Mus musculus: one gene and its partners. The protein of the gene in region 3 interacts with the protein of the main gene of each other region in a biochemical or structural test. Links are inferred from orthologs where the notes say so. Each region holds a gene or a part of one and is shown on either strand. Other genes may lie near its edges. The genes, in order: Hsf1, Irf1, Stub1, Bag1, Insr, Cyp3a13 and Ube2v1.

What was found.
Region 1: the proteins of Stub1 (region 3) and Hsf1 form a complex in vitro, tested with the Homo sapiens proteins (2 studies listed by BioGRID, with this or other methods). The link is inferred for Mus musculus from reciprocal best matches to the Homo sapiens genes STUB1 and HSF1.
Region 2: of the proteins of Stub1 (region 3) and Irf1, one has a biochemical effect on the other in vitro, tested with the Homo sapiens proteins (4 studies listed by BioGRID, with this or other methods). The link is inferred for Mus musculus from reciprocal best matches to the Homo sapiens genes STUB1 and IRF1.
Region 4: of the proteins of Stub1 (region 3) and Bag1, one has a biochemical effect on the other in vitro, tested with the Homo sapiens proteins (3 studies listed by BioGRID, with this or other methods). The link is inferred for Mus musculus from reciprocal best matches to the Homo sapiens genes STUB1 and BAG1.
Region 5: the proteins of Stub1 (region 3) and Insr form a complex in vitro, tested with the Homo sapiens proteins (2 studies listed by BioGRID, with this or other methods). The link is inferred for Mus musculus from reciprocal best matches to the Homo sapiens genes STUB1 and INSR.
Region 6: of the proteins of Stub1 (region 3) and Cyp3a13, one has a biochemical effect on the other in vitro, tested with the Homo sapiens proteins (3 studies listed by BioGRID). The link is inferred for Mus musculus from reciprocal best matches to the Homo sapiens genes STUB1 and CYP3A4.
Region 7: the proteins of Stub1 (region 3) and Ube2v1 form a complex in vitro, tested with the Homo sapiens proteins (4 studies listed by BioGRID). The link is inferred for Mus musculus from reciprocal best matches to the Homo sapiens genes STUB1 and UBE2V1.

The regions. Positions count from the first base shown.
Region 1 is NC_000081.6:76,494,362-76,497,861, forward strand, and holds part of Hsf1 (heat shock factor protein 1), read left to right. Parts: intron 1-1,608; coding exon 1,609-1,717; intron 1,718-2,091; coding exon 2,092-2,228; intron 2,229-2,474; coding exon 2,475-2,599; intron 2,600-3,257; coding exon 3,258-3,333; intron 3,334-3,406; coding exon 3,407-3,468; exon of another isoform or gene 3,469-3,500. UniProt on the Homo sapiens protein: Functions as a stress-inducible and DNA-binding transcription factor that plays a central role in the transcriptional activation of the heat shock response (HSR), leading to the expression of a large class of molecular chaperones, heat shock proteins (HSPs), that protect cells from cellular insult damage.
Region 2 is NC_000077.6:53,775,419-53,777,824, reverse strand, and holds the end of Irf1 (interferon regulatory factor 1), read right to left. Parts: intron 1,908-2,406; coding exon 1,772-1,907; intron 1,513-1,771; coding exon 1,379-1,512; 3' UTR 501-1,378; downstream 1-500. UniProt on the Homo sapiens protein: Transcriptional regulator which displays a remarkable functional diversity in the regulation of cellular responses.
Region 3 is NC_000083.6:25,830,134-25,834,169, reverse strand, and holds Stub1 (STIP1 homology and U box-containing protein 1), read left to right. Parts: upstream 1-1,250; 5' UTR 1,251-1,316; coding exon 1,317-1,478; intron 1,479-1,925; coding exon 1,926-2,124; intron 2,125-2,208; coding exon 2,209-2,374; exon of another isoform or gene 2,375-2,538; coding exon 2,539-2,626; exon of another isoform or gene 2,627-2,804; coding exon 2,805-2,861; exon of another isoform or gene 2,862-2,951; coding exon 2,952-3,068; exon of another isoform or gene 3,069-3,159; coding exon 3,160-3,285; 3' UTR 3,286-3,536; downstream 3,537-4,036. Other genes in the region: Jmjd8 (jmjC domain-containing protein 8 precursor), read right to left, coding at 3,580-3,660, 3,736-3,870, 3,964-4,031. UniProt on the Homo sapiens protein: E3 ubiquitin-protein ligase which targets misfolded chaperone substrates towards proteasomal degradation.
Region 4 is NC_000070.6:40,938,295-40,941,794, reverse strand, and holds part of Bag1 (BAG family molecular chaperone regulator 1), read left to right. Parts: intron 1-156; coding exon 157-270; intron 271-2,610; coding exon 2,611-2,718; intron 2,719-3,500. UniProt on the Homo sapiens protein: Co-chaperone for HSP70 and HSC70 chaperone proteins. Acts as a nucleotide-exchange factor (NEF) promoting the release of ADP from the HSP70 and HSC70 proteins thereby triggering client/substrate protein release.
Region 5 is NC_000074.6:3,276,818-3,280,953, forward strand, and holds the start of Insr (insulin receptor isoform A preproprotein), read right to left. Parts: upstream 2,801-4,136; 5' UTR 2,312-2,800; coding exon 2,212-2,311; intron 1-2,211. UniProt on the Homo sapiens protein: Receptor tyrosine kinase which mediates the pleiotropic actions of insulin.
Region 6 is NC_000071.6:137,908,120-137,911,619, reverse strand, and holds part of Cyp3a13 (cytochrome P450 3A13), read left to right. Parts: coding exon 1-81; intron 82-1,555; coding exon 1,556-1,704; intron 1,705-3,500.
Region 7 is NC_000068.7:167,615,006-167,618,505, forward strand, and holds part of Ube2v1 (ubiquitin-conjugating enzyme E2 variant 1), read right to left. Parts: intron 2,973-3,500; coding exon 2,824-2,972; intron 1-2,823. UniProt on the Homo sapiens protein: Has no ubiquitin ligase activity on its own. The UBE2V1-UBE2N heterodimer catalyzes the synthesis of non-canonical poly-ubiquitin chains that are linked through Lys-63.

The DNA of each region.
Region 1 (3,500 bases), on a different chromosome or scaffold from region 3:
GAAGAATGGGGACTAAACAATTAGTGTAAAGAGCAGAGCCTCTTTCTCTCACTGATACCACACTTCCTACCTGCACTTTCCCTGCTACTTAGGATCCTCTTCCTCCTGTGTCCACTTGCTCCACTGTTTCTGTTTAAGCCTGTTTCACTGCTCTGCGTGTTGAAAAAAGCCATGGTGCTAATCCAATACCTTAGGATCCTTTTGGTTGATTCTGTCTGTATTATAGTTCTCCCACCCCAGCAAAGAGACTGGTTCCTCAGCTGATTGGTCTTGCACACCCACGAGAATACTGTCCCTACCCACTGTAGGACCTCCCCACTCCAGTATCAAAGGCCTCTGAGTTGCCATGGCCCTTCAGCCCCTCCTAGTGGTTCTGACTGTGCTCAGGAAAGCACCAGCACAGAAGCACGGCCCCAGTATTTAACAGTTTTCATCTGAGTTTGAAAAAGAATAAGGTGGTATTTCTGATCAGGACTGTCTTCCAGAGCATCAACAACTTCATTCCTGTTTTGACTGCCACAATTTGGAGCTGTGTGTGTGTGTGTCCTTGAGCATATATGTGAGTGCCACATGTATGCCAGAGGCCATGAAGGACAAAAAAGGACATCAGGTCACGTAAAACTTGGAATTACTAGCAGTTGTGGGTTGACATATGAGTGCTGGGAAACAAACCCAGGTTCTCTATAAGAATAGTAAGCACTTGGAACTATGTCTCCAGCTATTCTTAAAGAAAAAATTGCTGGAGCTGAGACGAAAGGATGGACCATCTACAGACTGACACACCCAGGGATCCATCCCATAATCAGCCTCCAAATGCTGACACCATTGCACACGCCAGCAAGATTTTGCTGAAAGGACCTTGATATAGCTGTCTCTTGTGAGGCTATGCCGGGGCCTGGCAAACACAGAAGTGGATGCTCACAGTCAGCTATTGGATGGAACACAGGGCCCCCAGTGGAGGAGCTAGAGAAAGTACCCAAGGAGCTGAAGGGATCTGCAATCCTATAGGTGGAACAACGTTATGAACTAACCAGTACCCCCCCCCCTCGTGTCTCTAGCTGCATATGAATCAGAAGATGGCCTAGTCGGCCATCAGTGGAAAGAGAAGCCCATTGGTCGTGCAAACTTTATATGCCTCAGTACAGGGGAACACCAGGGCCAAGAAGTGGGAGTGAGTGGTAGGGGGGTGGGGGAGGGTATGGGGGACTTTTAGGATAGCATTTGAAATGTAAATGAAGAAAATACCTAATTAAAAAAAAGTTGCTAAATAAAAGAAATAAAAAAAAAGAAAAATTGCTGATTAAAACTAAATTCTAGTCAGTCCCTAGAGATGACCAGAATGCTGTGGGTGATTTATGAGTCTAAACCTAGCAACTAAAAACTGTCAGGAAGTTAAGATCCTGTCTCTGGTTACATGGGCCTCACTGCTCAGACCTAGGTTCCATGGCCCGGATACCAGCCATAGAGTCCTACAGCTACACTCACCTCCTGCTACTACTATGGAGGGAGAGTGTGCAAATCCACCACACATGGAGAGAGAGACATCAGGCCACAGTGAAACTATGATGGTGTCTGCTATATATGACCTGCCCATGTGTCTCCTGACAGAGTGGGAACAGCTTCCACGTGTTTGACCAGGGCCAGTTTGCCAAGGAGGTGCTGCCCAAGTACTTCAAGCACAACAACATGGCTAGCTTCGTGCGGCAGCTCAACATGTGTAAGTACCTCTTTCAGGATGCTATGCTTGCTTCACTGGGTGTGGAGAAATAGACCCCAGCCTATTTCTAAGAGATGGAGGCCTGGGTTGGCTGAAGAAGGGTCCTCATGAGTTTGAGCCTGAATTCTCCAGGGAAGAGTGTAGGATATGAGGCCCTAACCTAATGGCCACACTTCCATTTACAAAAAGGGAAGCTGTTCGGGGACAAAGTCTTTTCCAACCAAGAATAACTTGCTATGTATGGTAAATGGACACCAGTCAGACTCTCGTACAGTTTTCTAGGAGGCCCCTTGCCTGCCCTAGGCCATGGCTAGGCTGTTGAAGGTCTGGTCCCTGGCCCTCAAACAGAACTTCCCCCACCCCCATATACACAGATGGCTTCCGAAAAGTAGTCCACATTGAGCAGGGTGGCCTGGTCAAGCCTGAGAGAGATGACACCGAGTTCCAGCATCCTTGTTTCTTGCGTGGACAGGAACAGCTCCTTGAGAACATCAAGAGGAAAGTGACCAGCGTGAGTCACCAGCCCTGAGTACAGCCCCTCCCTGCCCTAAATATTCCTGCAGGCTATGGGCTGGGAGCAGTATCTAGGTGGTGCTGCAGGACTAGCCTAAAAGCATAGCCTGTGCTCTCTGTCTCTGACCCCCTCCCCCTTCCCAGTGTTTCCCAGGCCCTCCTCATTCCCTGGATGCCTAGGTGAAGCACAGGAGCCTACCACACTCCAGAGCCACTTTCGACTCTTGTATGCCCCACCCCTTAGGTGTCCACCCTGAAGAGTGAGGACATAAAAATACGCCAGGACAGTGTCACCCGGCTGTTGACAGATGTGCAGCTGATGAAGGGGAAACAGGAGTGTATGGACTCCAAGCTCCTGGCCATGAAGCAGTAGGTCCCAAGGCTCAGGAGGGTGGCCAGGTTGCTTTGGGTCTCCTACCCGATCCTGCAGAGCCATTCAAGCCTCCTTCCCCCTCCCAGCCTGCCTTCATTGTTTCTATGGAAACCCTGTCTTGTACATCTCCAGACACAGAGTGGGGTTGGAGGTCTCCTACTGCACCCACTTCTCACTCCCCTGCTGGAATTCACATTTTCAGGATTTGAGCACACAAAGCCCATTTCCAGGTGCCTCCCTAAAAACCAGGCCTGACAGGAGCTGACCACAACAGTCCTTGGGCCAGACCTCTCTACTGTTCTCTAGTCACAATGACTCAACTCGCCCTTTATCACTCACTCAGCACAGTTCACAGCTGCCTTCTACCCCAAAACTGAGGGTAATCTGTAGTTTAGGATCTTTCCCAGAGACCTGTCCTGTGTGCCTAGCCAGTATGTAACAAGTGCCCCATTGCAGCTAGGATCCTAAGGTACCATCAGATTCTATCCATGCCCTCCCTCAGCCCTGGCTGACGTTTGAATCCTGCCCTGTAAGTAGAGTGGAGTTAGGGAATCAGTTGTGCAGTGAGCCCTCATCTGGTCCAGCCCTGTCCATCAACAGCCTGATTCTCTGGCTCTTCTAATGTGGCCCAATTGACCCAGCAATGTGTTGCAGCGAGAACGAGGCCCTGTGGCGGGAGGTGGCCAGCCTTCGGCAGAAGCATGCCCAGCAGCAAAAAGTTGTCAACAAGGTGGGCAGGGCTGGTGGTAGGTGGGTCCCCTCCATGACTGGGCCAGGGTGACAGTATCCTTTCTGCCCCACAGCTCATTCAGTTCCTGATCTCACTGGTGCAGTCGAACCGGATCCTGGGGGTGAAGAGAAAGATGTGAGGCTCTGGGAATGTCTACACTGTCCACT
Region 2 (2,406 bases), on a different chromosome or scaffold from region 3:
TCTTTGAGTTTGAGGCCAGCCTGGTCTACACAGTGAGTTCCAGGAAAGCCACGGATACACTGTGGGGCGCTGTCTCAAAAACAAACAAACAACAAAACCAAAAACCCAGCCGGAGAGATGGCTCAGCAGTGAAGAGCACACTGGCTGCTCTCCCTGAGGATCCAAATTCAATTTTCAGCACCACATGGCAGCTTACAGCTGTCTGTGACTCAATTTCCAGAGGATCTGACACCCTTACATAGACATACATTCAGGCACATGAAGTGAAAAATTAAAATAAAAACTCCCTTCCGTGGCAAATGAGTATAAATGAGCATGTCCCTGTGGCATGACGCCCCCTCCTCCTGCCATCTTCTTCTTGACCATAACTGGAAAGATTCGTGATCGACGCATGTCAATGCTCAGCTGAAGCCCAGGCAGAAAGCCAGCAAAAGACTCCCATCAGGAGGTTTCCTTAAAAAGTAAGACCAATTCTGATTTCTAAATAAAAAGCCACACGCTGTAAACAACTTAAATTTTTATAAAAAGACAAATATACATATTTACACAGGTCCACCACATGACCAAACACCATTTAGCAGTTAGGTGGCGTTTCTAATAGATAGTCAAGAGTCACGCCAAGGCGCTCACAACCCCCCTTTTCCCTGGGCCTGCTGAGGACTGCCAAGGCCTGAGGAGACAGCAGGCACCAGGCAAGGCACTATATAAATAAATGCAAAGGCCTAGACTGGGGAGAAATGTTAGTGTACACCTCTGATCAGAAATGTGGCAAAGTCCACAGAGAAAGTGCCATTTTTTTTTCCTGAGCCCCACAGCTGGAGCAGGTAGTGAGGCAGATTCCCTCTGAGGCTAAGGGAGCCAACCTTCACAGGACCCCATTTTTTTTCCCTTCACATTTCACTGGCTTGGGAACCATCCCAGGGCTCGGTTGGGAAGGGCAGCAGTTCTTTGGGAATAGGACTCATTTAGTGCAATTGTCTCCTAGTACAGAGCCAGCTCTAGGGCCAGTGCTATGCTCTTCTGTGGGCGCTGGTCTATTCCCCTCAGGGCCAGCCCAGCGATAAGACCCTCTCTATGCAACAAGGCTTTTAAAAAGCTAGAAGATGACTCCTGTCCATGGCCTCTGCCTTACACCTCAGACCCCCCAATCCATCTTCCTAGGAGTCAGGGCCAGCTTCACCTCACAAGAAAACTCAGACTCTGCCTCCTAAGCCCTGAGAGCCCACTGACCCAAGGAGGATGGTCCCCTGTTTGCAGTGGGACTATGCTTTGCCATGTGTCAAGGGGCCCACAGGAGTCTAGCTTTTTTTGTATCACAGCCACCATGATGCCAAGGCCTAACTCACTCAGGAGGGCAAGAACGGGTCAGAGACCCAAACTATGGTGCACAAGGAATGGCCTGAATAGAGGGCGGCAGCCTCACAGAGTTGCCCAGCAGGCTGTCCATCCACATGATGGAGTCCATATTCTTCATCTCCGTGAAGACATGTTGTATGCCTATCCCAATGTCCCCTAGAAGATGACCAAAAAAGAAAAAGGCTGTATAAGTAAGGAAGGGTATGTGACTCTCACCCAGCTGTCCACAGCCCACAGCAACTCCATCTCTTCTATAGACCAGCCCCAGCACAGGGGCAGCTAGGAATTCTCACTTCATGCTGTACCTGTTGGCCTGGTTTAAAAGGCATGCTGGGATGCTTTAATCTGGCTCTGGCTCTGCCTCCAACAGCTTCCCCCTTCTCCCAGAACCCAGAAGGACCTAGAAGCCTCTTACCTCGAGGGCTGTCAATCTCTGGTTCCTCTTTGCAGCTGAAGTCTCCATAGACAGAAGAGAGCTGGGTCCCTGGCTCATTGAGCAAGTATCCCTTGCCATCGATGTGTGTCGGCTGCCACTCAGACTGTTCAAAGAGCTGGGGAGAGAGCATGAAGCCATCAGCTGCCTGCCAGTGCACTCACCCTGTGGCCCTTCCCTTGGGTGACCTAACCCTTCCCAAGCAGGATCATAACCTTGACTGTTTATGGGTAACAATATGCAAAACTGTCTAGGGAGGGGAGCACAAAGCGACCTGGGCCCTGCTGGCCCCCGCCCCTCCTGTGTGTCGCTGTCCCCCTCTGGCACAGAACCTGCATGAGTCCCCTCTACTGGGGGAGGACACAGGAACTGGCAGGGCAGCTTAAAGCCAAGGTTAGCATAACAAGCCAGAAAAGCCAGAGACAAGCAACTAGGCACACATTTCAAAAGTTCTGTGCTCATGGGCCAGACTCGGGATAAAACTACCTTAAAAACATTTATGGTCACTTTGAAAACTGCAGCTGAAAAAGTAAACCACAAAAGAACTTGCTAAGAAAAAAACCAGAGGGTTTCTTATTTTGTTTTTTTTCCTCCTAAAGTCATCCTAGTACAGATCC
Region 3 (4,036 bases):
GTTCACTTGGCCTGGGTCCTGTAATTCTTGGCAGGTCCTTGTGGGAGGCCCAGTCAGGGTGAAGGTCAGGCAGCAGGTCTGGGCATACATCTGCCCCCCAAGTTTGCACAAGACGAAGAGTCTACAACTCTAAGACACTCACTAGTGAGGTCCACAAGGGTTCTGGGGTCAAGTTACTAACCACCAGAACCATGATGGGGCCCTGGATGACCTCTCAGGCCCCGCTCAGCCCCGCTCAGAAAGGCAGTGAACTCTTGCACCTGGGCTAGAAACAGCAAGTAGTGCTTGAGTGTGTACTGGAGGGTTAGCAAGCTAGGAACTGTAGCCACCGCCTCTTCGTATATGAAAGCTGCAACCCCAGAAACCTCTGCCTCCAGGACCACTGCAAAGAGTGACAAGGAGGTTCTGGGGATAGCTTTTTTTGAGCTCCTAGAGCCCCCACCCAACTTGGGCAAAGATGCTACCTACTCACTCGAGGCAGTGGCAGAAACCACGCAGCGAAGTTTGACTGCGGCGCCCAGATCAGCAGAAAGCCGAGTTCTGCTTCTCCAAGTCCGGGGTTGGGGGTGTTAGCGGCCAACAGCTGATGCAGCAGCGGCTAGAAATGCCTCAACGACAGACCATGGGGTCAAAGGGTCTTGGTGCAGGCGCTCTCCAAGGAAACCAGCCGGCTCCGCCCTTGAAGAAGCTCCTCCCCATGACCGCGAGAAGGGCAAGAGTCCAGCCGTGCACCCGCAGCTACTTCTATAGCAACCGCAGAAGGTCCTTCGGTGTCAGCGTGTCACGTGCTTGTTTCTCAGCCATTAATGGCCGCAGGCAGCTCCTCCCGATTCCCGAGGAAGCCCCTCGAGAGCGGTCTGATCTGCGGGCCTCTCTTCTACCCTCAATTCCGCCTTCCTACCGGCGGTCCAGACGTTCCCAGGCTGTCGCGTGAGCCCGTGTGTGCCCTGGTGGTGCGCTAGGACCCGGGCCTAGTGACCGGCCCTCGGAAGGCCACTTCTCAATGACCGCTGCCACGTTCGCCCAGCTTGGGGCCGGAGGGCGGGGCTTGAGCGCCGATGGGCGGAGCCTTGGTCTGAGCAGGGTAGGTCTCGGTTACTGTAGGGCGGGGCCTGTAGAGCGCGGCGGAAGCTTCTCAGAGCTAAGGGAACTGGCTCAATCCACGAGGCTCCGCCTTTGCTCACGTGTCCCCATGCCAGCTCCGCCCCACACCGGAAGTTCCGGTGGCGGATCGCCGACCGGGCGGAGCTGATCGCTGCGCGGGCTGCGAGATCTAGGTGGCCGGGCGCGGAGCCCAAGCCGTGCCGCGCGGCGCCATGAAGGGCAAGGAGGAAAAGGAGGGCGGCGCGCGGCTGGGCACTGGTGGCGGCGGCAGCCCTGATAAGAGCCCGAGTGCGCAAGAGCTCAAGGAGCAGGGAAACCGGCTCTTCGTGGGCCGCAAGTACCCGGAGGCGGCGGCCTGCTACGGCCGCGCCATCGTGAGTGCGGGAGGGGCGGGGGCGGGGCCCGATGTGCCTCCCAGTTTTGTGATCCCGGACAGGGTTTCTGGCAGCCTGGACTCGATGGCTCGCTCGCTCCCCTGGTGCCCGGATTGCTGTTCCCGAGTCTAGGGCTGATTTGACTGGGAACTGGCGGGCGGGATGCTTGATTAAGTAAGACTAAGGATGACACCAGGAGCTCTTGCCCCTTGAGATTTCCAAGCCCAGAGCTTGTAGAGGGGTTGTGGGATTTCTCTCAAAAGCAGTTGGAGGCAAGAAAGCATGGCCAGAATCCAGAGCTCTTGATAATTCGGAAATCTCCAGTTCCTCTATTCCAGCCATGGGCCCCCAAAGCTGGAGCATTGACCAGATCATTGGCTTTCAGCTTGCTAAATGAGAGGGGATCAACTGAGCCCACACTCTTTGACGCCTGGTCTTGGTCCCCAGACTCGGAACCCACTTGTGGCAGTGTACTACACTAACCGGGCCCTGTGCTATCTGAAGATGCAGCAGCCTGAACAGGCACTTGCTGACTGCCGGCGAGCCCTGGAGCTGGACGGGCAGTCTGTGAAGGCGCACTTCTTCCTGGGGCAGTGCCAGCTGGAGATGGAGAGTTATGATGAGGCCATTGCCAATCTGCAGCGAGGTGGGCTGACAAGATGCAAGGTTGAGGGCACCTTGGGGGACCAGGATTGTTGACAAGTGTAACCAAAAGTGTCCACTCCCCTAGCCTATAGTTTGGCCAAGGAGCAGCGACTCAACTTTGGGGATGATATTCCTAGTGCCCTTCGCATTGCTAAGAAGAAGCGCTGGAACAGTATCGAGGAACGGCGCATCCACCAGGAGAGTGAGCTGCATTCATATCTCACCAGGCTCATTGCTGCTGAGCGAGAGAGGTGGGTCCCTCCCCCAGCAGACACTGAGTCACCAGCACAAGTGTTTTTATTGAAGGACAACAACCGGTACATGGGAAGCCCAGGAGGAAAGAGGCCTGAGATGGGGCGGGCTCTGTGATTTCCTGGTCAGGGCCATCACCAACTAGCTTCTGGTTAACCCTCAGGGAACTGGAGGAGTGTCAGCGGAACCACGAGGGTCATGAAGATGATGGCCACATCCGGGCCCAGCAGGCCTGCATTGAGGCCAAGCACGTGAGGGTGCCCCTAGTCCACATGTGGGTCATTGTGTGTGTGTTTGTGTGTGGCATGAAAAGTGCCCCAGCCTTTGGTGGATCTGTTGGCCCATGCATGACATGAGTGCCCTGGTGGACAGAGTGTGTGTGTCTGTGTGGAGACAGGAGTTGCCCACACATGGCACTCAACTCTGCAGGATAAATACATGGCAGATATGGATGAGCTCTTCTCTCAGGTGGACGAGAAAAGAAAGGTGAGGACCCCCGGAAGCTCATCGGCTGCTGCTGGTATGGTGACCCCCACAGCCCCCTCCAGTTCTAGACATTTTCCCCTTGTGCTATAGAAGCGAGATATCCCTGACTACTTGTGTGGCAAGATTAGCTTTGAGCTGATGCGGGAACCCTGCATTACACCCAGTGGTATCACCTATGACCGCAAGGACATTGAGGAGCACCTGCAGGTAAGGAGGGCCCATGGAGACCGGGCCATGGAGAGCCTTGGTACCCGGATCGGTATACTCAGGCCATTGAACACTCTTGACTCTGTTGCAGCGTGTGGGCCACTTTGACCCTGTGACCCGGAGCCCTCTGACCCAGGAACAGCTCATCCCCAACTTGGCCATGAAGGAAGTCATTGACGCTTTCATCTCTGAGAACGGCTGGGTAGAGGACTATTGAGGCCCCATGTCCTGCCTGGCACCCTGGCCCAGGAGGATCTGGAGACGGAAGCTCCAGTCCCTGTATAGTTTGTGTCCCTGGGCCTGCCCCCATCGGCCCTGCTGATGGGTTCTGAACTGCTCCCCTTCTCAGCATACCCCTTGCTGGACCATGAGCCTCCCTTGTCCCCCTTCTGGGCTGGAGAGTGGGTGAGGGTGGGCTGAGGTTGCTGCTGCTGCCACTGTCCTGTAATAAAGTCTGTGAGCACTACATTGGCATGTGCTGGTGCAGTGGGCTTGCCAGTTGCCTGTCTGGCTAGCCAAGGAAGGTAGAAATGAAGACACTGGTGTCCAGATTGAGTGTGGCATGCCACCACCGATCAGGAAAATACAGTACCTGGGAGAAAAGAAAAAAAAAATTTTGATTCATGGCTTTTTGAGTTAGCCCAACCCCCACCTACCAGCTACTGACTTCACCAGCCTGGATGGTACATTCTAGAGGCCGTGCTGACAGGGCTAGAGATGGGTATATTTCCAGCAGCCAGGCCAATGTGGTCTTGTTAGGGTGGAACTCAGGTGTCTTCTCAGGAGGGTAGAGGAACCAGCGCTGGAGGCAGGAGTGTAAGGTCACTATGTGTGCAATGGACTATAGACACCAGATTTACACACACACATAACACACACATAACACTGTACTGACCTTCCGACCATAGATAACCTCTGAGAAACCAGGCCCATGCCAGTGGAAGGGTACCCCAGATCCAGCTCCTGTG
Region 4 (3,500 bases), on a different chromosome or scaffold from region 3:
CTAGGATGCTCGCTTGGCCTTCCTTCTCCCTGGGCTGGGCTTTATGGATAGGAATCCTGTTGTCTAACCCTTTGACTTGCTTTCCAAGAAGCACAAGAGGTTGGCTCAGTTGTTTTAGGTGAGCAATTACTGACCTCGTTTTATTCTTTATGTTAGAGCAATCCAGAAGAAGAGGTTGAGTTAAAGAAGCTGAAAGATTTGGAGGTATCTGCAGAGAAGATAGCTAACCACCTGCAAGAATTGAATAAAGAGCTTTCTGGCATCCAGCAGGTGACTTCTCTATTCTGTGGATAGAGTGGTATGGTATTGTTGCCTGGTTGGCTTTTTAAAAAATAATTTATTTCATTTTTAAATTATATATTAATTATGTGTGAGTCTGCCTGGGTCTGTGTTGGAGTAGGTGGATGTGAGTGCTGGTGGCCAGGAAGACACCCCCCACACCCCCCAGAGCTGGGGTGATGTGAGGTGGTGAGCCTCTAGATGCTGGGAGCAGAACGCAGGTCGGCTAGTAGAACAGTACACCTTCTTAATCTCCGAGCCATCTCTCCAGTCCTGTTTTGTGTTGTAATTATAAAATTAGTTTGTGATGCTTACACAAAAGTTTTATATGTGCGTATAGATAGATTCAAGCCGAGGCCTTTCACGTCCTAAGCTCAGCTCTGCTCTCACTGTGCTGCTTTTGTTGTTGTTGTTGTTTTGTTTGTTTGTTCGTTTTTTTGGTTTTTGTTTGTTTGGTTTTTGTTTTTTTGTTTTTTTGGTTTTTCAAGACAGGGTTTCTCTGTGTAGCCCTGGCTGTCCTGGAACTCACTCTGTAGACCAGGCTGGCCTTGAACTCAGAAATCCGCCTGCCTCTGCCTCCCAAGTGCTGGGATTAAAGGCGTGCACCACCACGCCCGGCTCTTACTGTGCTTCTTGTGTGCAGGTCTGTATGTCTGACCCAGAGATGCTATTACTCTGAAAAGTATTTTTCACCTTATTTAGTTAAAATATAATATGCTATACATTTGGTAAATTGTTCTTTTACTGGCTAAAAATTAACATTTTCCTGTGTTGTTGAAAATGGTCATATTTTCCTGCATGTGAATATATCATGGTTTACCTACCTTAGTCTCTGTTCTCTGTTTTACCTGATTTTTTTCTCTTACTGTGCTGCTGCTTTGAGTGCCCTTAGACAGGAGTCCTTTTTGAGTAGTTGTGATTGTCTTTGATAGAACTGAGTTTGGATTTCTGAGTAATGTTCGAACTTCTTGCTGTGTGTTTACAAATATGCCTTTGTCACTCTGGTTTGATAGCCATCTTCAGAAATTCCTGCTTTTCAACTCAGCCACCCGCTAACTGATCACTAGGCAAAGAAATGCAAATGAACAGCAGGGTGGTTTAATGACAGTAAGTGCTACCTCAACCAGGTGTGGGCTTGTACACCGTAATCACAGCTTTTCTCAGAGCAAGAGACGGGATCAGTTTAAGGGCAGCATTGACTATGCAGTGAGTTAGAGATCCTGTCTCAAAACCAAAGCCACAATAATACCGCCATCCTCTGTTATCTTGTGTATCTATCTGTGCCATGAGTTATGTGAGCATCTACACATCTGCCGGTCAGCATCCCATAATCTGAGATCAGTGAGACGTGGCAAGTTTAAGGAACTTGCTTTAAGATCTTAAGCCAAAGTTGGGAATGTAGCTTAGCTGATAAAGTGCTTGCCACACAGCATCAGGACCTGGGTTCAGATTCCCAGCATCCATGCAGAAACTGGGCATGATGGCACACTGTATAATCCCAGTGTGGGGGAGGCAAAGAGAAGAGGGCTGGATCCCAGCTGCTCACTGCCCAAACAGTCTAGCCAAATTGGGCAAGCTCCAGATTCAGTAAAAGACCCTGTCTCAAAAAATAAGGCAGAGTCTTAGTCAGTGAAGAGGCGCCGTGACCACAGCAACTCTTAAAAGAAGAAAGCGTTTATTTGTGGCTGGCTTAAAGTTCAGAGGTTTAATTAGTCCATTATCATCATGGCAGGAAGCATGGTGGCATGCAGGCAGACTTTGTGCTGGAGAGGTAGCTGAGAATTCTTCATTTCAATCCACAGGCAACACTTAGAGAGAGACACTGGGCCTGGCTTGGGCTTTTAAAACCCCAAAGCCCACCCCCAGTGACACATTTCCTCCCACAAGGCCACACCTCCTAATCCTTGTCAAGTAGCACTACTCCCTAGTGACCAAGCATACAAATATATGGGGGCCATTTTTATTCAAACCACCACACAGTGTTTGGCAAAGACACCTCACGCCAACCCTTGATGCACTGTGCCCAGCTTTTCAGTCTGTTCTCTTAATGTCTGCTTCTTATGTGCATGTATGCACCTGTGTTGAAGGCTGCACCATAGTTCCTCAGGGGGCATTCATGCCTCAGTGGACTGTGAGAGAAAGAACAGTCCACACCCTGGTAGTATTCTTAGTCTGGCCAAGGCAAGCATTTCTAATTTTCCCAGGGGATGAAGGTCTGAGATCTAGCCGGGCTTCTTAGATCAGTGGTGAACTCTGGGTTGCTTCACCAGTCTATTGGCATGGTTTTCCATGAGTCTCAAACACTTGCAATAGTGCCTTATTCCTTCTCAGGGTTTTCTGGCTAAGGAATTGCAAGCGGAGGCTCTCTGCAAACTTGATAGGAAAGTAAAAGCAACAATTGAGCAATTCATGAAGATCTTGGAGGAGATTGACACAATGGTAAGTAAACATTCATATAGAGGTACTAGCCTTTTTATTTACTTTTAACGTTTTATTTATTTATATATACAGCGTTCTGCCTGCATGTATGCCTGCAGGCCAGAAGAGAGCACCAGACCCCATTACAGATGGCTGTGAGCCACTATGTGGTTGCTGGGAATTGAACTTAGGACCTCTGGAAGAGCGATCAGTGCTCTTAACCACTGAGCCACCTCTCTAACCCCAGAGGTACTTCTCTTTAGTGGCAGTATTTCAGTCTATTTCGTTCTGTCAGTATTACACTTGTGTTACCTGGGAAAATCTGTTGCTCGGGGATGTCAAACATCTACTGTTATGGGCCAGGTACTGTGTGTCTTAGTTAGCTTTAACTGTCATCTTAACACAGCCTAGAGGCACCTAAGAAATACGTCTCAGCTGAGGGATTACCCAGATGAGCGTGACCTATAGGCACACTGGGGCAAGATGGGTTTGGTAATTGATAGAGTCCATTATGAGCTGCATCTGCCCCAGGCAGGTGGTCCTGGGCTGTATAAGAAAGCCAGCTTGGAGCCAGGGAAATGGTTCAGTGGTTACAAGTACCAGTTGCTCTTCCAGAGAACTTGGATTTGATTCCCAGAATCTACAGTACCTTGCAACCCTCTCTAAGCCGAGTTCCAGGGGATCCAGTGTCCTCTTCAGGCCTCCTCAAGTCCCAGGCAGGCGTGTGGTATAGATATACATGCAGGCAAAACACCCATAAAATAAATAAGCCTTCCGCCGGGTGTGGTGGCACACGCCTTTAA
Region 5 (4,136 bases), on a different chromosome or scaffold from region 3:
GAGTGCTTGCTGACAGGCATACAACGCCACACATGGTTTATGTAAGTCTAGGGATGAAACCCAGGGATTTTGTGTGTGCACAGGGAGGGCTACACTCTGGCCACACACCCAGTATATTTACTGCACAAACCCCAATGTCTTGGCTTTCTGTGTGCCATTAGGGAACAATGTTTATATGCACCTACTATGTGTCCAGCACTGCTCAGGTTCTAACATCGGTGAGGAACAAACACCAGGCCCTATCCTTGTGAACACTGCATGTATATTTAAAAGCCCCCAGAAGCTCTGTCTCCTGGGCTCAGGAAGTCCAGACATGGACAAACAATCAATTACCAAAAAATGTAAAAGCAGAGCTCAAGGTACAACACTATGCGCCCAAGTGCACAGGTGCATATACAACATAACCCTACTTCCTTAAGGCCTCAGAGAGCAATGTAGATGTTAACAATCTTGGATTTTTCTAATAAGAACCCAAACCATGGACTGGCTCCGTTTTTACTTACTGAGATGGATGGCTCAGTAAGTCAAAGCACTTGCTGCCCGAGCATGAAAACCTGAGTTCAGATCTCTCCACACCCACCTAAAAGCCAGCACTTCAGCATACATCTATCTATAACTCTAGTGATAAAAAGAGGTGAAGGGAGAGGGGGAACTGGCACTCACAGGCTAGGCAGTGCGGCCAAATCAGCAAACTCAAGGTTCATTGAGAGACCCTGACTCAAAACACAAGGCTGAAAGTGACAGAGACAAACACTGGATGTCAACCTAGGTCCTCTACAAACACACAGGCACAGGAGTGCACACGCGAACACACATGCACACGCACGAACACGTGCACTCGGGCACAAACCAAACCAATGGCCATTCCTCATTGAGTACCTTCTGTATATCGGATCCTGGGGGCCTCAGAGACATTACCAGTTTAGCAGACCCACTCCACAAGATCAACCCAACCTGTTCCATAATCCTGCACCCTCCTCCCAACACACACATCTCCCTCATTCACAAAAGCGTGGCAGTTCCTTCTCTCCTTGACCCCTTCCCTATTGTAATTAATTTCCATTTTCAGAGAAAGCTGAACCAGTAACTCAAAAGACATTTGTCATTGCATGTTTTTTGAAACAGTGTCTAACTAGCCTCAAAACTCACTCAATAGCTGGGCTTGCTTCAAACAACTCGCTATCCTCCTGCCTTGGCCATAACCAAGCACAGAACTATAAGACCAGCCTCTGAACAAATGGGCTAACTGAACCTCATTTTAGCCCTCTCTGAAATGGGTATGTAACTATGTTGGCCTCCAGGGAACACTGGGAGGTTCTAGCGCTAACCAGCCTGGAGACTCATAATCATTCTAATTATAACCATCCTGAAAACTACCCCTACTGTTACTATGATTGCTGTGGGGCCAAAGGTATGCAGACTTTGCCTCTAGACATCTGGAAGTAGAGAATTATAAACATAGCAGCCACAAGGGGTCGATTCTCCAACAAGTGTCCTCCGTCGAAGAGGATACCCCTGGCTTTGGGTTTAAACTGCTCAGATGTCTGAATCTGTTGCAACCCAGTAACCATACTTACTTAAAGCAACCTCAAAGAGCCTCAGAGGACAGATTTGGGGTTAGAGAAAAGAACAGACACAGTTGAGAGGTGCACTGGGGACAGACACCCGAAGCCTGGGCGGGCACTGGGGCAAGGTTCCTCAGACCCGAGATGGACACACGCGGGGTACAGAGCCACAAGCCCAGTGAGCAAAGGCCAAGGTCAGCCGGGGTTTCACGCAGGGCCAGGGCCACCAAACCCACTCTTCCCCTTCCCCAGTGTAAAGATGATCACTATAGGGAGGGGACTCTTCATAGACACAAGGACGCTACGGGAGTCTTCAACCTTCAGTCCGTGGAGAGGGGGCTCTAGGTTGATGGAAGAAGAACGAGAAATGTCCACAACTCTCGTGAAAGGACTATATTGCTGGAGTGGTGAAATGGGTGTCTGTAACCCTGACTCCTTGGTGGGGCCTGGGGGGCTCTAAGTTGTATGGAGCAATGGGAAGGGTTGTCCCCATTACTCAGCCCAAAGGGAGAATTCTCTAGGTTGGCTGTGGCGGTGGAGAGGGGTGTCCCCGACCCTCACTCCTTAGGGTGAGGGTTCTAGATTGGCTGGGGCGGTGGGAGAAGTGTCCCCGACATACTGTGATCGCCTCTTGTCCCAGACTTACCCTCTCCAGGGTACAGGTGGCCGGCTGTGCCCACCAGCAACGCGGCCACGGCCACCAGCAATGGCACAGCCGTCGTCTCACATCCTCTCCCGAAGCCCATAGCAGTAGGAGTGCTGGGACCCCGGCGATCAGAGCACGCCACGCCGGCCTACTGGGGACATACTCCGTGAGAAGGTCTCTGGAGAGGCGCTCGGGGCCGCACGTCCTTCTCTTCCACGCCCGTGGCTCACAGGCCGCAGCTCTCCAGCCTAGAGGGCCCTGGGGACAGTCCCGGGAAGAGCACAGAGGCCTCGGCCGCAAGCAACACCGTGGCGCGGCCCGCAGGTCACCCAGGCCCGGTCCCGTGCCCGCAATCCCAGAGTCCAGAGCTCACCGCGGTGCGTCTCCTGTCCGGGTCTCCTGCTTCTGCCCTCCGTGCAGCTCTGGGTGGGTCGCGTTGTGTGGAGTCTGAGACAGAGGGACGCGCGCACTGGAGGGCACCTGGGCTGGTGGTGGCGGCGGGAGCTAGGGCTCGACTCCAGCCCGTAAACAACGCAGCCCGTCAGCTGGGCCCGCGCGGGCCAAGGGAAAAGGTGGCGCGGATTAAGACAGGGAAGGGACTGTGCGCTCCAGTGAGGCCCGCTGGGGGGGGAGGGGGAGAAAGCCAGCAGAGCTCGGGGAGGCGTGGCCAGAGCTGGCAACGCCACGCCTCCTCGCCTCCTCGCCTCCTCGGCCCCTTTGCCCCCTTGCCCCGTAAAACCCGCAACTTCAGAGACCCGAGGCTCACTTCAGATTCTTCCAATCCCAACACCCCGAACTGCTGGCTTAGAAAGATTACGATTTAAAAGCTTGTAAGCGTTCTCAGATACCAGTGTAACATAAACACCCAAACAACTCTAAGACTCACCTGTCAAACGTCCGGAGCTGCCCATATCCGCACCTGACACGAACGCCCCCAAAGAGTCCCAAAGTTCCGATTTTAAAACCTAGGGGTCCCCAGATCCCCGCCTGACTCGAAAACCACTAAACAGGCCTGAGGTTCCAGTTTAAAAGCCTAGGGACGCCCCCAGGTCCCCTCCTGACTGCAGCAAACACAAGTAACACCGAGGTTCCAATTTAAAGGTCTGGAGCACACTCTAGATCTCCGCCAGATCTAGACACCCCAAATTACCCCGAAATAACAATTTTAAAGTCTGGAAATGCCGCCAGATACCCCAGGACATAAACACCCCAATATGCCCCTAGATGCCAGATTCAACCAAGCACATTTTGTCTTTCTTTACTCCTTTTTACTATTTTTTTGACTCCCGTGGGGAATTCACTTTAATTCTTTACCTTTGATTCTGTTTTTCTTTACAGCCTATGCTACCAATGTCTTACGAGATTCTCCCAACCCTGGCTCTCTCGAGGAGCTAGTAGGCGCCCAACAAGTTCCCTCCCCAGTGAGCTCCCGCCCAGCAGCTTGGAGGCACCAGCTTCCAGGCCACAGCCACGTGTCCACAATGCAGGCAGCCTGTATTCCCTGGCCTGCGCCCCCTCCACCCAGCACTGAATTCCAGCAGAAATCAATAAGGAAATGACTCTAGAAGAACATAACAAGGCTTCTAGAAACACGTTAGAAACTTCATATAGGATCAGAGCAGACATAACTCCATTTTCAACACACATACCAGTAGGTGGCTGTATGTCTAAGAAAGCCATTCACTAGCAGCCCTGCTCAACCACATCATGAGGCGCTAACCCTGTCGGTGCCTTAGGAATATGTGCAGTACAGAGTCCTCTATCCTTTGCTTCACATGTTCACTCAGACCCGGACTGTGGCTGCTGGTCTGTGCAATGGGTTTGACAATATCTGTAAAAAAAAAGGTAAAAATAAAAGTAAAGTGGCAAGCAATAGAGAAAGACACTTAAGGTCAACCTTTGGCCTAGCACACCACACCACACAC
Region 6 (3,500 bases), on a different chromosome or scaffold from region 3:
CATCATTAACCAGTTTACAGATGTGTTGGTGAGAAACATGAGGCAGGGATTAGGAGAAGGAAAGCCCACCAGCATGAAAGAGTAAGTACTAGCACAGGTGTTGAGCGCTGGGTTGTTGTATTAGTTACTTTCCTGTTGCTGTGACAAAATATTCTAACAAAAGCAACTGAAGGAAGAAATGTTTCATTTTGGCTGTGGTTCCGAGGGAGATACAGTCTCCTGGCAGGAAGACTTTGTGGCAGGAACAGGAGGCTACCTGATCACAATGCATCTACAATCAGAAGGAAGGAAGTATGGCCAGATTATATGAAGACCTGCCCAAAGTGACTTGCTTCCAATGAGTCTGTACCTCCAAAAGTTGCCACACTTTTCCCAGACTGTGGCACTAGCTTGGGACTAAGTATTCAAACACACAATCCTTTGGTGGGACATGCACATTCAAATCATAACAGTAGTGCTAGGAGACTCCATAATTACCTACTGGGGAGTTGAAGTTCCCAGTTTAAAAAACAAACAAAAACAAAAAACAAAAAAACAGGGTTAGGGTTAGGGTTAGGGAACTTTCATTTATTGAAGTTACTCCAGGACTAGTCATAAGTGGGTTGTATGGTGTTACCACTGATTAGAAGAGCTCAGACTATGACTGGAGTTGAGACCAAAGGAAACTGGAGACATCCCTGTCACAGCATTTGGACTTTAATGGGTCACTCTGGAAAGGAGCGTCTCTTATGAGAAAGTAGAGTGCCTGGAAGAGAATAAGTCTCACCTCTGTATTCAGGAGTCATTATTAACTTGTCTATCCCATTATAATTATTAAAATTCTAGAAGAAAGATAGTTTAGAAAGAAGGAACATTATCTGAACAAAGTTGTTGGTGTGGATTCAATAGAAAAGAGTGGAGAAAGTACTTGGCACTTATTAGAATGCTGTGTGTATACCAGGAAAGTTAAAACATCAAACCATTTATATTACATCATAGACTTTTTTGGGACTATCAGTGAAATAGAAACTATTGCTTTGGGCTGTCAAGATAGTTTTGTGGGTTACGGTACTTGCCACCTGAGTTAGAGCTCTCGGAATGGGAGAGAATTGGCATCCACAAGGAAGAACAATGTAAAATGAGCATGCATGGTATTTAGCTTATCCTTCCCACACTTACACAGAGCAGAACCAAACCGAGGGAATGCTGCCACCCAGAGTGGAGGATTGTGTCTTTCCACATCAATTAACACAATCAAATCAGACCCTCACAGGCCTGTCCAGCTGGTAGAAACAATTCTCTTCCCCAGTGACTGTAGATTATGTCATTTTGATAATTAAAACTCACAATCATAGATAGTACCCATGTAGTCCCACATCACAAAGATAGACACAACACTGTCACCTGTCAAGCTTCTCATAAGTGAGTGTGACAGAAGCAAGGATATGGTAGGCGGGGTTTCTGTATGACCTTCTGGCTATCTTGGCTGGACATGTGAACTTACTACTGCTTCATACTCTGTCTATCTTAGCTAGACCAAGAAGATATCTAATAGTTATATTCCGTTTCTCTTCAGCATCTTTGGGGCCTACAGCATGGATGTGATCACAGCCACCTCATTTGGAGTGAATATTGATTCCCTCAACAACCCACAGGATCCTTTTGTGGAGAAAATCAAGAAGCTCTTAAAATTTGATATCTTTGATCCACTGTTCCTCTCAGTGAGTACGTAAGCTAATGTTTCATTCTTTTTGTCTTTTTAAGCAACAGTGTAGTGAAAGATAATCCACATATGCTGTGAGTAGTCCACTGAAACAGGCCAGGATTTGGTTTTCAGTATATTTAAAGTATTTCCAGCTGTCACTGCTAGCTGTGGAACATCTTTGTCACTCTAGAAACTCTGAACTTTTAATGACCTTACCTCCCTCATTCATAAGCAGCAAGTAAGCCTACTTTCTAGCTGTGTAGACTTGCCTATTCTGAACACTTTATAAGAGTAAAATTGTGCAATCTATCACCCTCTTTGTGTCTGGCATCCAAATTAGTATGCTTTAAAAGTTCATGCACCTTGAAGTGAGTCTTAGTGCTTAATTATTTTCTATGGCAGAATCTCATCCCATTGTAAGGACATGACATGTCCTATTTACTCACGACTGCTGGTTATTTAGAATGTTTGACCTTTTGGCTCTCGGGAACAGCGCTGCTGCTATGAATACTTGTACACACATTTGTGTCTGAACAAGTTTCAAGTTGTTTTTGGTGTATACTTGAGAAGAAGTGCTGAGTTGTATGGTCATGTCTAATATAGAGGACTGAAGGGACTGTGGGTGTTGGCTTTTCTCAAAGATTTAATTGTTCATCTGTTCTGCTCATTTTTAATTTGCATTGGTATGTTCAGTTGTATAGAAGAGCATCCTTGAGGCGAATCTTATCTAGTTAGAGTAATATAGCTCTTTTATAGTCACTAATATTGTATTGAAAATTTTCTTTTTACATATTTACAAGTGTTGTTTATTTGTAGTTTTCATGTGATATTTCTATCTGATCTTAATATTAGGGGCACTACTTGTATTACAGAGAATTTTAGAGATACTTTTATATATGTCTAAATTTTGGAAGTGTTTGGGAAGAAATGGTATATGCTTTTCTTTAAGCATTTGGTTAAATTCCGCAGTGAAACCTTATGGTCTTAGGCTTTCCTTGTGGACAGCATGTTTTTTAAACCAGGGATAGTTTTAATTCTGTACATAAGGCAAGGTAGGAGGAGGTAAAGATTCAATATGATCCAGGAACACATTTATAAGATAATCTCATTTTATCATAGTTCTCCATTTACTCTAGACTGTGAGAGATGCTATGGGTCTCTGTGTATTTTCTGTGCAACATATAACCTCTTATGCCACAGGTCTTTTACGCATGGTATGCATTTCTTTTTGAGTCAGCTTCTATGGTTTGTGAACTTCTAGGAATCTGTACATTCTAGCTAAGTTACATAATTGAGGCTGTTGTTCTATCCCCCATTTATTAATAGAATTCTTTATATGTCCTTATATTTTTCATAACATTATTCCCCTCCCACTTCACTATGCATGCTAATAATCTGAGTCATCACTATTTCTAGAACAATCCCAGCTAACACTTTGCTAACCCTGAAGATATTTTCATAGAACCATCTTTGTTTTCATTGATTTCCTTCATTCTTTTTATTTCACTCATTTGCACTTTGGTCGGTAGTATCCAGTCTTTCTGTCTCTATTGTGTTTTTCTCTTTTCTTTTAGTGGCACATGCTAAAAAGTGTTGTCATATGAAACCAGCTTATCTTCTGAATATTGTATTGCCTCCATCTTACAAAAACCTTTTTTTTTGGGGGGGGGGGTTGGTTAAAGTTATCATCATTATTATTGTGTGTATATATTCATGCATATTTACATACTTGTATATATGAATGCACATAAGTATTCAGAGGTAAACCTCAGAAGAAAACCTCAGGTGTCTGTTACCTTTTGTTAAGGCTCTCTCA
Region 7 (3,500 bases), on a different chromosome or scaffold from region 3:
TCACACTCACCCACATTTACTCACTCTCACATGCTTTCTCACCCACACTCACTCTCACCCACATTCACTCACACACTCACTCCCACATGCTCACTCACTCTCACACGCTCGCTCGATAGCTCACTCACTTACACATACTCACTCACAGTGGCTGCCAGGCTTGGCACAGGTGCATCGCCCACTGAGCTACCCTGTGCTGGGCTACAGAGCATGAAGAGGAGGGCAGGCTTGTGGAGCACCAGCTTTCAACCCCGCCCTGCCTGTGGGAGCACATGCTCGCTCCCCAGACTCCTCCTGTAGGTACTACAAATACTAACCCAGCTGGACTACACACTTAAGAGCACTCTAAGCCAGGCAAGGAGACACACTGCCTCAGTGCTTCAGGGGTGGAATCTGAGGCCAGCTTGTGCTACATTATCAAACTATATCTCAAAAATCAAGGTTTGGGGAGCACACAGACTTAGCTGTTCTTGCAGAGGACCCAGTTGATGCCTAGCACCTGTCAGAAGATCACAGGTTCCTGCGAGCACAGCTCCAGGATACCAGCAGATGCAAACACAAACGGCCAACAGACATAGCCCAGTGGTAGAGCACCTGCCTGCCATGTCCACAGCCCTAGACCCCAGCTTTTGGGAGCCTGGGACAAGAGGATTCCAAGGTTTTGGCACCCAGGTCTGCAAGGCAGGATCTTCTTCTTAAGTCTCTGGACACAGGGTTTCCCTGTGCAGCCCTGGCTGTCCTGGAACTCTCTCTACAGACCAGGCTGGCTTCAAACTCATAGACATCTACTTTCCCCTGCCTCCTGAGTACTGGGATTAAAGGCATGTCCCATCCATGCCCAGCTTCCTCTTCTGTTTTTGAGACAGGAGCTGGATATGTAGCCCAGGCTACCCTCCAATCAATAGTGATCCTCCTGCCTCAACCTCCCAAGAGCTGGGATTAGGTCTGAGCAACCACTTTGTCTTAAACAAAAGACAGGCTGGTCTGCCTGGAGTGTATTTCAGAGGCATGGCGTGCTGCCTGGCAAGCAAGCATCTGTGAGGTCCTAAGGTAGATCCTCTCCATCGGGTTGCACTGCAAGCCCGTACAATAGACACGTGGAAAGTATCTGGTGTCTAGCAGCTCAGTGAGCCCCACTCCCCTTTAGAAAAGGGTATAAAGCCTAGCTCAGGACAATCTAAACAGTTTTTGTTACAGAAAGGGTCTTATGTAGTCCAAGATGCCTTGAGCTTGCAGTAATCCTCCTGCCTCACCTTCTGAGTTTATAAAGTGTGCTGTAGAAATCCTAGCCTGAACATTTAGGCAGAACATTTTCAACAGTATTTACAAGCTGTTTTAGATTTCTGTGTGTCCTTTTGCTTTGCTTGTGTGTGTGTGTGTGTGTGTGCTTCATGTGTGACAGTTGTGAGCCTTCACATGGGTGGGTGCTAGGAACGAACCTCAGTCCTCTGCAAGAATAACAAGTGCTATTAACCACCCAGCTGTCTTCAGCCCATCTGTCTCTTTTGAAACAGTGTCTCAAGGATACATACTGGCCCAAAATTCCCTGTGTGGCAAAGATCACTGAGAGTGACTGGTCGGTCCTTCTGCCTCTGCCACTGCATGCTGGGATGTGGGTAACTATGGCCATAGCAAGCTCTTGTTTAGTTCTCACAGAGCCTCTCAGCATCCAACAGAGCTGATGGCACAAGGTCCACAGCCTCTGTACCCCCTGACCCACACACAGGTGCTCTAAGGAGACCATCTCCCTCGAGGCTGGATCCTCTGAGGAAGGAGAGCATCTGCAAAGCCATCTACCTGTACGTCCTGAGACTCAGCACACTGCTGTGCAGGGAGGAGGAAATGGGGAATGTATATACATTAACTCTTGCACCGGCATCAGAGTTGCAAAGATGACTTAGGAAGCAGGAGTGAAGTGCAAGGCTGCTCAATGACCCTCAAAGGTGACCTTCAAATGTCTGAATGCTAATGAGCGGGAGGTAGGTGTCTGCCCTCTTAGTTCCACTGTGCCTTGCTGTTGAAAAGGAAGGAAGCTGTCACTATAGGCACAGCACACTCAGGCTCATCTCCAGAAGTGTCCCTTTTAGGGTCTTTCCCTCTTCCTGTATTCTCTCCTGTACCTAGTCGTAAACTCCCTAGCACTTCAGTGCTGACTAATGAATACTCAACTTGTCAGCAGTGTGTCAGTGACCAGTGGGCAGGGAGGAGAGAGAACAGGCTTGGCAAACAGACCCAGTTCTGTGACCCTGGGCAGGTGACTTCACCCTGGGTCAGCTTCCCCACCTGTGACCTGGAATGTGGTTACGCAGGAGGATGAGACAACGACTTTGTGGGCACTGGGTGACAATTCTTGGAGGGCTAACCATGTACCCTCAAACACACAGTGGCTAGGACCTCACTAAGCAGAGTTCTTGTAGGCTTGCTTGCCCCTCTTCTTTGGCCCTGGGTTTAAATACCTCTGGACCCAGCAGAGCTGATGGCAGGACTTGAACCTGCCCTGAGTGACAGGCAGAACACAAAGGCACAGCAAAGCTGGGATGGTAGCTGTCCAAGTGCTTGCTTTGTCTTGAACTCAGCTGAGGGACGGCAGCTCAAAGACCACAGTCTACACTGTCATGTAAATCCACACTACTGGCTACACAGGATTTGATTACCAAAGAGGATTAAAGCGCATCAGAGGGGCTCAAATGTATAAATTGAAATGGGTCAGAGAAAAAACAGCACACTTGAGCAAACACCTCTGGTGAGTGTCTGCCAACTGCTTTAAGGAAAGGCACAGTGAGCTTAACTCGATGACAGTGACAGCTGGAGCTTGGTGCTTACTCGTGGAGGTCCAATTATCATGCCTGTCCATCTTGTAAGTGTCATGTCCTCGTCGTCCTCCAGACCCCAGCTAACTGTGCCGTCGCCTACTCCTTTCTGTCCTTCTTCCAGCTCTTCCAACAGTCGGAAATTTCGAGGGACTTTTACTCCTAAAACAAACGGAAAGAAATTCAAGGTTCCAGCAAATCCAGGTGTACGGCTAAGATAGCACAGCGAGGAGCTGCTCATCACCAGTGTGTGCTGCGGACGCTGTGTACACAGCTGGCAATGGCGCCTCACACGCACCGAGCCATGGGGAGCCAGAGGGGTGCTCACCCACCCCAGCCCCTCCAGTGCCCCACCCCGTTTAGCTGTTGCTCCCTTTGCTCTGAGCACTGGCTGAGAGGAATGCCAACCGCAGCCTGGGACACGGCACTTCCTTTCACGCAATCGTGGTATGACACATTTTGGAGGCTGCAGAGACTTAGGGATGCTCCTGGCTGGGACGGCCTTAGCGACACCAGCATTGTATCTCATGAAATGCTGTCCCCACAAGTAGCTATCAGGCAGGAGCGCGGAGGAGGCTTTTTCACTCCGTAAGCCTTGGCCCTTCTGGTTTATTTTTTAGCCACAAAGCCCATGAGGGCAGCCCAGACACCGCCACAACCACACCAGGCGCCTGAGCCACCTCAATGTCA